Caenorhabditis elegans: one gene and its partner. The protein of the gene in region 2 binds, or shares a complex with, the protein of the main gene of each other region. Each region holds a gene or a part of one and is shown on either strand. Other genes may lie near its edges.

What was found.
Region 1: cic-1 (region 2) and dpy-22 share a complex: the UniProt entries of both Caenorhabditis elegans proteins name them as parts of the mediator complex.

What each region holds. Positions count from the first base shown.
Region 1 is NC_003284.9:9,819,235-9,824,166, forward strand, and holds the start of dpy-22 (Mediator of RNA polymerase II transcription subunit 12), read right to left. Parts: upstream 3,040-4,932; 5' UTR 2,937-3,039; coding exon 2,829-2,936; intron 2,657-2,828; coding exon 2,549-2,656; intron 2,500-2,548; coding exon 2,276-2,499; intron 2,191-2,275; coding exon 1,947-2,190; intron 1,902-1,946; coding exon 1,804-1,901; intron 1,738-1,803; coding exon 1,561-1,737; intron 1,517-1,560; coding exon 1-1,516. Other genes in the region: GTPase-activating protein rrc-1, read right to left, coding at 4,730-4,818. UniProt on the Caenorhabditis elegans protein: Component of the Mediator complex, a coactivator involved in regulated gene transcription of nearly all RNA polymerase II-dependent genes.
Region 2 is NC_003281.10:2,395,183-2,403,156, reverse strand, and holds the start of cic-1 (Cyclin-C), read left to right. Parts: upstream 1-1,935; 5' UTR 1,936-1,948; coding exon 1,949-1,980; intron 1,981-2,027; coding exon 2,028-2,134; intron 2,135-2,190; coding exon 2,191-2,302; intron 2,303-2,354; coding exon 2,355-2,476; intron 2,477-4,571; coding exon 4,572-4,766; intron 4,767-7,188; coding exon 7,189-7,370; intron 7,371-7,500; exon of another isoform or gene 7,501-7,550; intron 7,551-7,974. Other genes in the region: Sterol 4-C-methyltransferase strm-1, read right to left, coding at 996-1,058. UniProt on the Caenorhabditis elegans protein: Component of the Mediator complex, a coactivator involved in regulated gene transcription of nearly all RNA polymerase II-dependent genes.

The sequences.
Region 1 (4,932 bases), on a different chromosome or scaffold from region 2:
CAAATGAAGCGCTTCACTGAACTGACTGCATTGATCAAGTGTTCTCCATCCTGCGTGGCTAGTTTTCTCTTTCCATTTTTTGTCTGACACCATTTTCTCTTTGATATGGGAAGCCAAAGTTGCAATTTTCATTTCCTTCTCTTTGCGGATTTTGATTTCAGCGAGTTCCTCGTCGGTATAAATTTTCTCGGGTTCGTTATCCGCCACATCTGTATCCTTGTTTTTGTCCCTTTCTTCTTCGCCATCTTTTTTCTTCTCACTTTCCGGAGTTTGTTCCTGATCAGGATCCACCACAGCTATAACAACACAGTCATCCTCGTCTGCTTTTTTGTTGGACTCAATGATCATAATATCATCTTCGTGTTCTTTCTCAGACTTATCAACTTCAGGCGCTTTGTCGACTTCCAGTGGTTCCTCGGTGGTAATTTCAGTGGATTCTTTTGGTTTTTCAGTGGCAGCTGGTGGATCTGATTCCATGGGAACTGTGTCATCTTTAGAAGTTTCATCGTTACTTGTTGAACTTGCATTTGGCTCCTTATCAATTTTGTCATTAGAATCGACAATGGAGGGAGCTTCGGATTTCTCTGCTGATGTAGACGTCTTTGCCGTTTTTGAACTGGTATCATCTTCATTTTCTTTGCCGGTAGGTTCTTCTTCAACTAATTTTTGTTTTTCAGAAGCATCGGTTTTATCATTTGCATCAGCCATTTCAGCATCGTCAGGATTTATCGGAACATCCAGATCATTCGTATGCTCATCAACAGATTTTTCTTTTTCCTTGTCTTTCTCCTTATCTTTGTTCTTCTCCTTAGTTTTAGATTCATCTTCTTTCTTTTCACATTCATTTTCTTTATCGACAGAAAGAGCTGGCGAAGCGCTGGGAGATGATTCAAAATCAATTTGTGGCTGCGTGTTGACAGTTTCCGTTGGTGTTGGATTGGAGAAATCCAGTACTTCATCTTTTGGTGGATCAATTCCAACTCCGCCCTGCTGAATCCAGAAAGGATACGTCATTGAACCATAGCGACCACTAATACGTTCAGGAGTGACAGATCTCTTGCCTATCTTCATGTACTTGAACTCCTCATCGTCAGTGAGTTTTTTTGGAATATCTGTGTGAAGTGGCTTGAAAGGTAAAGGCTCATATGATGGATCATATTGATGTGAGAAAGAGTCATAATCCATAGAATTGTCTGATTGTTGACCTCCATACTCATCATAGTCCATCGGTTCTTGTTTAATCTGTACTTTATCGTGATCAAGAGAAGCTTCATTCGAAGGATTCTGTGGCATTTTTTTTGGCCGATTTTTTGACAATCCTCTTCTTCTCCTCCTTTCAGACTTTTTGAGTGAGCCTGCCTTTCGTTTTTCATGCTGCTTGATAAGTTCTTCAGCTTGTGCTTCTGGTGTTTTGTCAGTCTCATCAAAGTAGGGTACATCAGGAATCTCGTCCAACATATCAATGAAGTCATCGTAATCTTCAAACTCGTAAATTTCGCCATCTTCATTTTCAAATCTGAATTTTTGATTTTTTGTAACTCTCATAAATTTAAGTCTTACTCTTTCTTAATGAAAGTTTTATTAGCAGAATCGTAGTACGCATCAATTTTCCTTTTATCCTGTGCCATTTCGAATAGAAAACCAAGTGCTTGGCAAAGCAGAGTGGAGGACCGTCTAGCTAACACCAGACTGGAGCTGAGATCTTCGACAAAATACACATAATATTTCATGAATGTGCTGAAATGTTATTAATACAATATCAGTTCATGGGTTATCTAATTTGGAAAAGTTTGCAGTGCTTACCTTAAAACTGAAGGGTTCTTAAAGTTTTTCTGCAAAAACAACTGATTGAAAACTTCCGTGAGATCGTTGAGAAACTCCTGTTTATCAAGGACACCATCCTATAACAAAACTAATAAAATTTCTGTTAAAAATAAAACTCTTACATCAAACATATACTTCATGAATCCAGTCAAATAATTCCATGTTTTAGTAGCCTCTCTTCGTTTTATGGGATTTCGAAAAGATTTGTAAAGCTGGGTTACGAGCCAAATTGTTGTTTTGTTGCATGCTTGGCTCAGTTCTAGAGTTGCAACGTCAAGTAATGTTTTCTTTTGTGTCTTGCTTGAAGAGTTGAAACCAAGGATACAAAGAAGTTTCACACACCATATTGCCCGATCGTAGCTTATGCTGAAATAGGCAACTTTAGAACATTCTTCAGTTAGCACAGTATAATTCACATTTGTTTTAATTGTGAATTTTAAAAACAACTCACTTATAATCGCTAAACTCCAAAAAGAGCAGTTCTTTCCTTCTAAATCCAGGGATTCTTTGTGAAAGTTGTTGAAGAGGAGTTCCTCTAGCTAATGCCGAAAAGAATTTCACTCGATCTGACAAAATTCGTTTCCAGTTATGTGGTGCAAAACACGGAAGTTGTTCCTTTGGAATTTTACGTTCTCTGTCATAATTCATGTGGAACTCTCCTTTTTTGTGAATAACCTGAAATTAACATATTTACTCACTTATATAATTGTTGAAAATGACTCACAGAAGCAATCATAGACTGAGATCGTTTTTGAGCTTTCTCCAGACGAATTAGCTTATTTTCCGATGCGTTGAAAACCAATGATTGAAGCTCGTATTGCGTTAATGGCATCTAAAATCAAAACTCGGGTTGTATAATTCATATCCTCACGTGTGCTTTCTCTGTTTCTTTTTACGCTCATCAAACATCTAGCCACACACCAAGCTAATCATCCCCTAGTACCTCCATAGTTACATTGCACTCTGTTTGAGCATCTTTTTCCTCGCCCTGGCACGACACTCACCTGATATCCTTTCTTTAATCGTTCCGTTGTCAACATATCCTCTTCTTGATTCTTGTTTTGTTTATACACATCAGCAGTTCCCATTCGAAGGTTGGTTTTCCGGAGCATACGTTCGCCGGGCTGCTCGTCAAACCACGAGGCGACGCCATCCTCGGGGTAGACGTCGTCCTCGTCGTCTACCACTGACGTCGATGGGTACGAAATGATTGCTAAAATTTTTTTATTTGCAATAACTTCCCAAATTTTGAAGATAATATGTTAAGAAAAAGAAAAAATACAATCAGGCGACGTTTTTAAGTGATAACAACATAAAAACTGACAGAAAAATGAAAGGAGGAACGAATAAGAATTTAAAGGAAAGTGGGTTCTATTTATTTAGAAAATATTGTGAAAAAAATAAGTATTAAAAAGTTTTTTTTTTGGAATATCATCATTCATGTCTAGTTCACTTTTCCAACTCTAAAATTGTGTTCAAAATCCAATATTCAAAATTTTGTGGGTTCCCAATTAGTTAAAAAAACACAATGTGAGCTTTTAAAAAAAGTGAAAAATTAAACTCAACATGTGGACAGAGATGTATTCATAAAGCACCTTTCATCGATTGTAAAGAAACACATCAACCCCAGTACGGATGATGACATTCAAAGATGGCTGTAAAAAAGACGCAGAGAAGCGAGGAAGAAACGCACAAACGGCGAGTAGCAGGCAGTTGGAAAGAAATAGAGAATTGGCCCCTGAGAACACAGAACACAGCAAGAAATACACTGATGGAAGAGAGAGACGCAGAGATGGAGAGTGCTGCACAGCAAGGCACACAGACCCATCGATCGGAACTGTCTCGCTATTTTCTCAAAATGGTCCACTCATAAGTCGTTTGTTTAATTGCAGGGAAAATTGTATTGTTGTAAGAAATGGTAAATACGTTAAAACTTCAACTTTCAGAACGATAAGAAAGTAGACTTTTTTGGGAGTTGTGAATGAGCTAATATTCCAAGATGGTGAACCCAAAAAAAAAAAAGGAAATCAAGTAGTATGCATATCACCTACAGATCAGCATGAACTGATAATATTTGTTATTTGAATATGTGCAATTTTAATAACTTTAATGCGCGTTGTTTCAGAATATGGTTTCGGATGTTCAGGCAGTTTACTGATATTATACAAAAAACCAGCGAAGTTTTTTTGAAACTAAGCTAAAAACGACCTTACGCGCAAAAAATTCCAACATCTGGGTATTGTCTGCAGTTAGAATCACATTCTCGCAAATTTAAATTTATGAGAAAGGACAAATGATGAGAGAAAATGTCATATGTCAGATAAAATTATATGAAAACGGAAGAAAAAAACTCTAAGTTTCTTCATTTCAGAATGTCATAGGGCAAATCCCCCGATTGATGTTTCAATGTAATGCATATTTGAATATATATTTTAATTTTTTTTACAACTCCACAATATCGTTTTGAACTTTGAACAAAATATTGAAAATAAAAATTAGAATTGATTGAAATTGTTATAATTCTTCAAATCAGGATCGCGGAAAATTTTCAAAACGAAATAAATCACTAAAAAGTGTTTATTTAAATTCAGTAAATTCTAGTAATTAGGTCTTGTATTCCGCGTTTCTTTTATAATTTCAAAAATACAATTCAGCGATGTTATCACGCATCACAATTGTTTGAAAATTGTGTGTTTGTATATAAATAATTTATAATCAAAAACACGAAACAAAATAAAAATGATCAGGAATTGCTTGAAGACAATTGAGAAGTAGAAGAAAAATATGAGGAAATGAAAAAATGGAACACTGGTTCTTTAAAAATTTAAGACGATAAAGAAATAAAGTTGAAAAAGTAGTCAACAATACAATGAACAAAAATATCATGAAAGAGGTGGAAATTCAATTATGCAGAGAACAAATGACTGGCTCGAGAAGATTCGAAAAAGAGCATTTGTGCAGCTGGAGAAAGGTTAGTTATCGGTTCTCGTTGATCTGAAACGCCAAGAATTATTGTGTTATTGTGAAATTATAGTGTTTGTGGCTGGAAATTGACCAAATTTGGCTAAGATTTATTTTGTACAGATCAAAAAACCACAAGAAATGTTT
Region 2 (7,974 bases):
CGCCGAAAACTCGTAATCGGTGTTTGCGTACTTTCGAAGCTACAGTACTACTCTGTAAATTTTACTAAATGCTTAAATTGCCTATGAAATTGCGGAAAATTCAGTTTTAAGCATGACATTGCGTTAAAATATTGATTTTTCTGCATTTTGTCGTAAGATCTGGTGTGTTGAAGTGTTTGCGTACTTTTGAGGCTACAGTATCCCGCGAAAGTTGAATTTAGCGTAGGAAAGTCGGAAAAAAGTGTTTCAGGGGTAGAACTTGACGACGAATCTGATTTTGATACTAATTTTAAGTTAAAAAATTTAAAAAAAATTGATGTTTTTCCAAAAAAAAAAATTTTCAAAAAAATTTTTTTTTCAATTTTTTTTTTCCGGAAAAGTAAATACCTTTCTTATTATAAAACTATTATTGACATTGTCATTAACAAGGTCACAATAATTATTTGTTCTTCACCAATTTTCGGCGGCGGCGCAAATAACAGAAAAAAGTAGGTCAAATTCATTTCGTCACCTTATATTCCGTTGGTTTCAATAAAACAGAAGAACACGAAGGGTTTCGTACTGATAAGATGTGATAGTACATAATAACATTAATAAGAAATAAATGTACTTTTGGGGGGGAATTTTAAAAAAAAATTGAAAAAAAAAAATTTTTTTTTTGAAAAAATTTTTTTGAGTTTTTTTTTTTTTAAAGTACCATAACTTTTCTCATTTTTAAGATTTTTTTTATAATTTTTAAAGCAGATTGTAGATAAATATTTTATTCAAATAAAAAGTTACAATCGTACTAAAAAAATGTTGAAAATTTCAAAAAATAAAATTTTTTTTGGAATAAAAAATTTTTAGAAAAAATCCTATAACTTTGCTCATTTTTAAGCTATAAAAATGTTTTTTTAAACAAAACAAAGAAAAATCTTCGCATTTTTATTGCATTAATTAAGACTTAAACAAAAATAGGTCGGAATTTCAAATTTTTGGGAAAAAATTCAACTTACCAAATCGTGACGCCGAAAATGGGTGAGAAGCTTCAAAAAGTTGGCATTCATATTGATGGACATGTTTATAGACGAAGAAATTGGCTGGAAATCTGAAAATTTGAAAAAAAAACATTTCGAACAAAAATTTTCTGAAAAAAAAATTTCGAAAAAAAAAATTTTTTTCGAAAATTTTAAATTTTTCCTAAAATCTCCAATATACTAATTAGCACCTAACAAAGCCAATTTCACACTTTAAAACTCCCCAAAAAGCTCCTTTATACGACTTTTTCCAGCCAATTTGTACCACTTTTCTATTTGCTCAGTGACTACAGCGTCAAAAAGGTCAAAAAGGTGCGAATTTCTTATCAAATGATGATTTCTGCTCAGTTTTGCAAACAAAATTGCCGGATTTTCATCCAAGAAATGGGTGACTGTGTCATATTGGATAGTTTTCACTAGCACCCCCGCCAGACTCCGCCTAGTTTCGGGAAAAAGTGAAAGTTCAAGTGGTCAGAGGGATTGGAGACGGGTGAAATGTAGTTGACATAAACCTAAAGCAAATTGGAAGCATTTTGACACAAAAATCATAAACTCATGAGAAACTCTGAAAAATGAGCCAAATTATTATTAATTATTGTGGCTTTGCAGAAAAATTTCGATTTGTCTCGGTTTTAATGGAATTTTTTGAATTTTAACACAGAAGAAGGATTTTGACTACGTTTTGTTGAATTTTTCACAAAAAAAAACTTCAAAACCCCCTCTAAACTAGCCATAATCCACCAGCTTTAAAAAATCGATTTAAACTACCGCGTAAAGACATACAACGACACTCCGGAATCCCGCAGGCGCGTGTTCTTTACCGTAAATCCACACTCCGAATTTATTCTTATTTATTCGAATTTTCATCGATTTCACTCAATTTCCACTGTTTTTCTCGATTTTTTCATTTTTTTAATGATTTTAGTTGAAAAATGGCTTTAAATTTCTGGAAAAGCAGTCATTGGTAAGTAAATCCCATTGAAAAACCCAAAAAAATCCCATTTTTTCCAGCCAACAATGGATTTTCGATAAAACCGAGATTTGGAAGCAACGCGCCGAGGATATGAAGATTTATAACGAGGAAGAGTACAATCGATTGAATATTTTCTGGGCGAATTGTAATTTTTCCTTACTTTTTCCTCGAAAAAATCGATAATTTTTGGTTTTTTTTCAGTTATAACCGCCGTCGCCACAGAAGGAGCCCACTCACAGGCAAATGTTGGATGTAAACTCCGTCAACAGGTTATTGCAACTGCGATTATCTATTTTAAGCGATTTTATCTAAGGTTTATTCGGAAAAAAATGATAAAAAACCTGGAAAAACGTCGAATTTTTCAGGCAATCGTTCCGTGACATGTGCCCATTCCTCGTAGCCTCTACAGCATTATTTTTAGCGTGTAAAGTTGAAGAACACACTACGTTGAGCGTCTCAAGCTTTCTGAAAAATACAGCTATCGTTTGTGCGTTTTTACGACGGAAAAATTGCAAAAAATTGGCAGAAAAACGCGGAAATCCGGCTGAAAATTGGAAAATTTAGTGAAAAATAGGCTTTTGAACCGAAAAAACACCCGGAAAAAACATCAATTTTTCACTTAAAAACCGCTGAAATCCAAATTTTTCAGCTAGAAACTCTAAAAATCACCTCAATAACCAAAAAAAAAAAACAGTTTTTGAGTCAAGTTTTGTCTCAAAAAAATTTGAAATTCCACTCTTGCAGCTCATTTTCCGCTTATTAATCCAAAAAATCGCCTGAAAATCGATTTTTAAGCTGAAAAACTCGAAAAACTCGAAAAATTTGCCTCTTTTTCACTCAAAAATTCGATGCTTTCCTAAAAACGCCAAAAATAAAAAAATTACGGCCAATTTTCAGAAAAATTTAATTAAAAAAACTAAAAACGCCCAACTTACCAGAAAAAAACCCGTTTTAGTCCAAAAAATCGCCTAAAAATCAAATTTTCCACTTAAAAATTCGATTTTTCTGTTAAAAACGGTTAAAAGTTCAGGAAATACCCATAAAGACCCGTTTTAGTCCTAATATTCGTCTAAAAATCGTTTTTTGTGTGGAAAAATCGGATTTTGTCAATTTTTAACCTGAAAAATTCGATTTTTCGCTAAAAACGCCGAAAATTTCAAAAATTCGATAAAAAACTCGTTTTCACTTCAAAAAAATTGCCTGAAAATCTATTTTCGACAGAAAAAACCAAAATTTATCAATTTTCCACTCAAAAATTCATCTTTTTTTTGCTAAAAAAACCAAAAACTTAAGAAAATTTAATTAAAAACCCGGTTTACTTCAAAAAATCGCCTTAAATCAATTTTACCCTCAAAAATTCAATTTTTCTGTTAAAAACGCCAGAAATTGTAAAAAATTCGACCAAAAATGCGTTTTAGTCCAAAAATCCACCTGAAAATCAAATTTTCCACTAAAAAATTCAATTTTTCTGCGGAAAACGCCGAAATGTTCAGAAAATATTCATAAAATACCCCTTTTTAGTCCTAAAATCCGTCTAAAATGTAATTTTTCTGCTAAAAACGCTAAAAATCACAGAAAATTAGAATAAAAACCTCTTCTTAGGCCAAAAAATGGCCTAAAAATCAAATTTTCTAATCAAAAATTCAATTTTTCTTTTAAAAAACCAGTTTTTCAGCAGAAACAACAGAATTTTGTCAATTTTCCACTCAAAAATTCAATGTTTATGCTAAAAAATACCCAAAATTTCGAAAAATTCTATTAAAAACGCGTTTTACTTCAAAAAATCGCCAAAAAATCAAATCTCCCACTCAAAAATTCAATTTTTCTACTAAAAACGTCAAAAATTCGATAAAAAACCCGTTTTAGTCCAAAAATTCGTCTAAAACTCAATTTTTTCTACTAAAAATGCAAAAAATTTCAAAAAATTCGAAAAAAACCCGCCTGAAAACCAATTTTCCCCTCAAAAATTCGATTTTTCTGCTAGAAATTCTAAAAATTTCGAAAAATTCTATTAAAAACGCGTTTTACTTCAAAAAATCGCCAAAAAATCAAATTTCCCACTAAAAAATTAATTTTTCTACTAAAAACGTCAAAAATTCGATAAAAAACCCGTTGTAGTCCAAAAATTCGTCTAAAAATCAATTTTTCTCTCAAAAATTCAATTTTTTCTACTAAAAATGCAAAAAATTTCAAAAAATTCGGGAAAAAACCCCGTTGTACTCCAAAAAATCCGCCTGAAAACCAATTTTCCGCTAAAAAATTCAATTTTTCTACTAAAAATGCAAAAAATTTCAAAAAATTCGGGAAAAAACCCCGTTGTACTCCAAAAAATCCGCCTGAAAACCAATTTTCCGCTAAAAAATTCAATTTTTCTACTAAAAAACCCATAAATTGTCCGAAAAAACGCGTTTTACTTCAAAAAATCGCCAAAAAATCAAATCTCCCACTCAAAAATTCAATTTTTCTACTAAAAACGTCAAAAATTCGATAAAAAACCCGTTTTAGTCCAAAAAATCGCCTAAAAATCAAATTTTCCCCTCAAAAATTCAAATTTCGCGCCCCTAAATCCCTTCATTTTTCAGTGCCAAAACGATGGGGAGTGACATTTGAGACGACATCGACAAAAAATGGAGTTGTCTACGATTCCGAGTTTATTCTCGTTGAAATTCTTGATTGTTGCCTTGTTGTACATCATGCATCACGTCCAATGTTTGAATTATTAGAAGATTTGAAACAATTTACTCAACAATCAACTATTGCTAATCAACCTATTAAAGGTGCCCCCCCCCCCCCCCCCGGGAAATTTTTGATAAAAACTGTGAAAAATTGGAGAAATTGCGATTTTTCCAGGAAAAATTGGGAAAAAAATCGATAAAAATTGGAAAAATTTGAATTTTTTGAGAAAAAAAAAGGAAATATCTGAAATTTTTTAGGGAACAGTGGAATTTTTTTGATTTTTTTTTTGAATTTTTTGGTGAAAAAAATGGAAAATTGTGGAATTTTTAGTGAAAAATTGGAAAATTTTGAATTTTTCAGTAAAAAAGTGGAAAATTTGGAAAATTTTGAATTTTTAATGAAAAAATGGAAAATTTTGGAATTTTTAGTGAAAAATTGGAAAAATTAAATTTTTTAGCGAAAAATTCGATTTTTAAGTGAAAAATCTAATTTTTTTAGTTAAAAATTGGAAAATTTTGAATTTTTAGAGAAAAAAAAAGGAAATATCTGAAATTTTTTAGGGAACAGTGGAATTTTTTTGATTTTTTTTTTGAATTTTTTGGTGAAAAATTGAAAAAAAATTGGAATTTTTGGGTGAAAAATTTGGAAAAATTTGAATAATTAGGGGAAAATTGGAAAAAATTGGAATTTTTTAGTGAAAAATTGAAAAAATTAGAAATTTTGAATTTTTTTAATGAAAAAATGGAAAATTTTGGAATTTTTAGTGAAAAATTGGAAACATCGAATTTTTTTTGAATTTCTTAGTGAAAAATTGGATTTTTTAAGTGAAAAATCTAATTTTTTAGTTAAAAATTGGAAATTTTTGAATTTTTTGAGAAAAAAAAGGAAATATCTGAAATTTTTTAGGGAACAGTGGAATTTTTTTGATTTTTTTTTTGAATTTTTTGATGAAAAATTGAAAAAAATTGGGATTTTTTCGTGAAAAATTGGAAAATTTTGAATTTTTCAGTAAAAAAGTGGAAAATTTGCAATTCAATTTTTGAAGAAAATTTGATTTTCCCCTACAAAAAATATGCCAAAAATTAGGAAACCTCAATTTTTTCGAAGAATTTTTCGGAATTTTTTTCTTAAAAATTTAAAATGTTTTTAAAACAAAACTGAATTTTCACAAAAAAAATCCTAATTTTTCACGAAAAAATTCCAATTTTTTTTTCAATTTTTCACCAAAAAATTCAAAAAAAAAATCAAAAAAATTCCACTGTTCCCTAAAAAATTTCAGATATTTCCTTTTTTTTCTCTAAAAATTCAAAATTTTCCAATTTTTAACTAAAAAATTAGATTTTTCACTTAAAAAATCCAATTTTTCACTAAGAAATTCAAAAAAAAATCCATTTGTCCAATTTTTCACTAAAAATTCCAAAATTTTCCATTTTTTCATTAAAAAAATTCAAAATTTCTAATTTTTTCAATTTTTCACTAAAAAATTCAAATTTTCAAAAAAAAATTCCAATTTTTCACTAAAAAATCGAATTTTTCCAATTTTTCACTAAATATTTAAATTTTTCCAAATTTTCCACTTTTTTACTGAAAAATTCAAAAATTTCCAATTTTTTTCAATTTTTCACCAAAAAATTCAAAAAAAAAAAATCAAAAAAATTCCACTGTTCCCTAAAAAATTTCAGAAATTTCCTTTTTTTTTTCTCAAAAAATTCAAATTTTTCCAATTTTTTCAATTTTTCCCAAAATCATTCAAAATTTTCCAATTTTTAACTTAAAAATTAGATTTTTCACTTAAAAAATCCAATTTTTCACTAAAAAATTCAAAAAAAATTCGATTTTTCCAATTTTTCACTAAAAATTCAAAATTTTCCAATCTTTCACTAAAAAATTCGATTTTTCCAATTTTTCACTAAAAATTCCAAAATTTTCCATTTTTTCATTAAAAAATTCAAAATTTCTAATTTTTTCAATTTTTCACTAAAAAATCCAATTTTTCACCAAAAAATTCAAAAAAAATTCGATTTTTCCAATTTTTCACTAAAAAATCCAAAATTTTCCATTTTTTCATTAAAAAATTCAAAATTTCTAATTTTTTCAATTTTTCACTAAAAAATCCAATTTTTCACCAAAAAATTCAAAAAAATTCGATTTTTCCAATTTTTCACTAAATAATCCAAAATTTTCCAATCTTTCACTAAAAAATTCGATTTTTCCAATTTTTCACTAAAAATTCCAAAATTTTCCATTTTTTCATTAAAAAATTCAAAATTTCTAATTTTTTCAATTTTTCACTAAAAAATCCAATTTTTCACCAAAAAATTCAAAAAAAATTCGATTTTTCCAATTTTTCACTAAAAAATCCAATTTTTCACCAAAAAATTCAAAAAAATTCGATTTTTCCAATTTTTCACTAAATAATCCAAAATTTTCCATTTTTTCATTAAAAAATTCAAAATTTCTAATTTTTTCAATTTTTCACTAAAAAATCCAATTTTTCACCAAAAAACCTCCATTTTTTTGCAGATCTGGAAGCAATTGAAGCTCAATGTCAAAAAGTGGCAAATGATTCGCTAAGATGTGATGTTTCATTGATTTTTCCACCACATGTCATTGGATTATCAAGTATTATGGTTGCAATGGAATTAATGGGCCGTGGAGAAGAATTGGAAGCTTGGCTTGTCGAAGTTGACACTGATTTTGAAAAGGTCTCGGATTTCTACCGGAAAATTGAGATTTCCCGTGAAATTCTACCCAATACTCGAGAAATTTGCCAATTTTTAGAGAATTTGCAAGAAAATCCAGCAAATTCCGCGAAAATAGACAATTTTTTAAGCATTTTTAGCCGAAAAAAAGTTGGTGGCCTAACTTTTTTACTTTCTAGGCCACCAATAGGAATTTTCGAACATTTTTCTTTAAATGTGGAAAACCCCGAGTTTTTTAACCCATTTTGCCAATTTTCAGCCGAAAAATGATGGTGGCCTAACTTTTTGCAATTTCTAGGCCACCAATCGGAATTAAGGGAATTTTTGTGATTTTAGAAAGTCAAGAACGGAAACTTTGACATTTTTGGCATTTTCTTGAAAATTGAACTCAAAAATTGCAAAAACCTGAATTTTTGTGCAATTTGAGCTGGAAAATCCCCGAAAATCGATGCTTCTGTGATTTTCAGTGAAAAAAAACTGAAAAATCGAATTTTTCGGACCTTTTTACCCATGTGGCCGAGTTTTTTGGCTGATGGCCGAACTTTTGTAATTTCTAGGCCACCGATTGGGAATAAGGTCATTTTTTGAACTTTAACGTTTTTTTTTG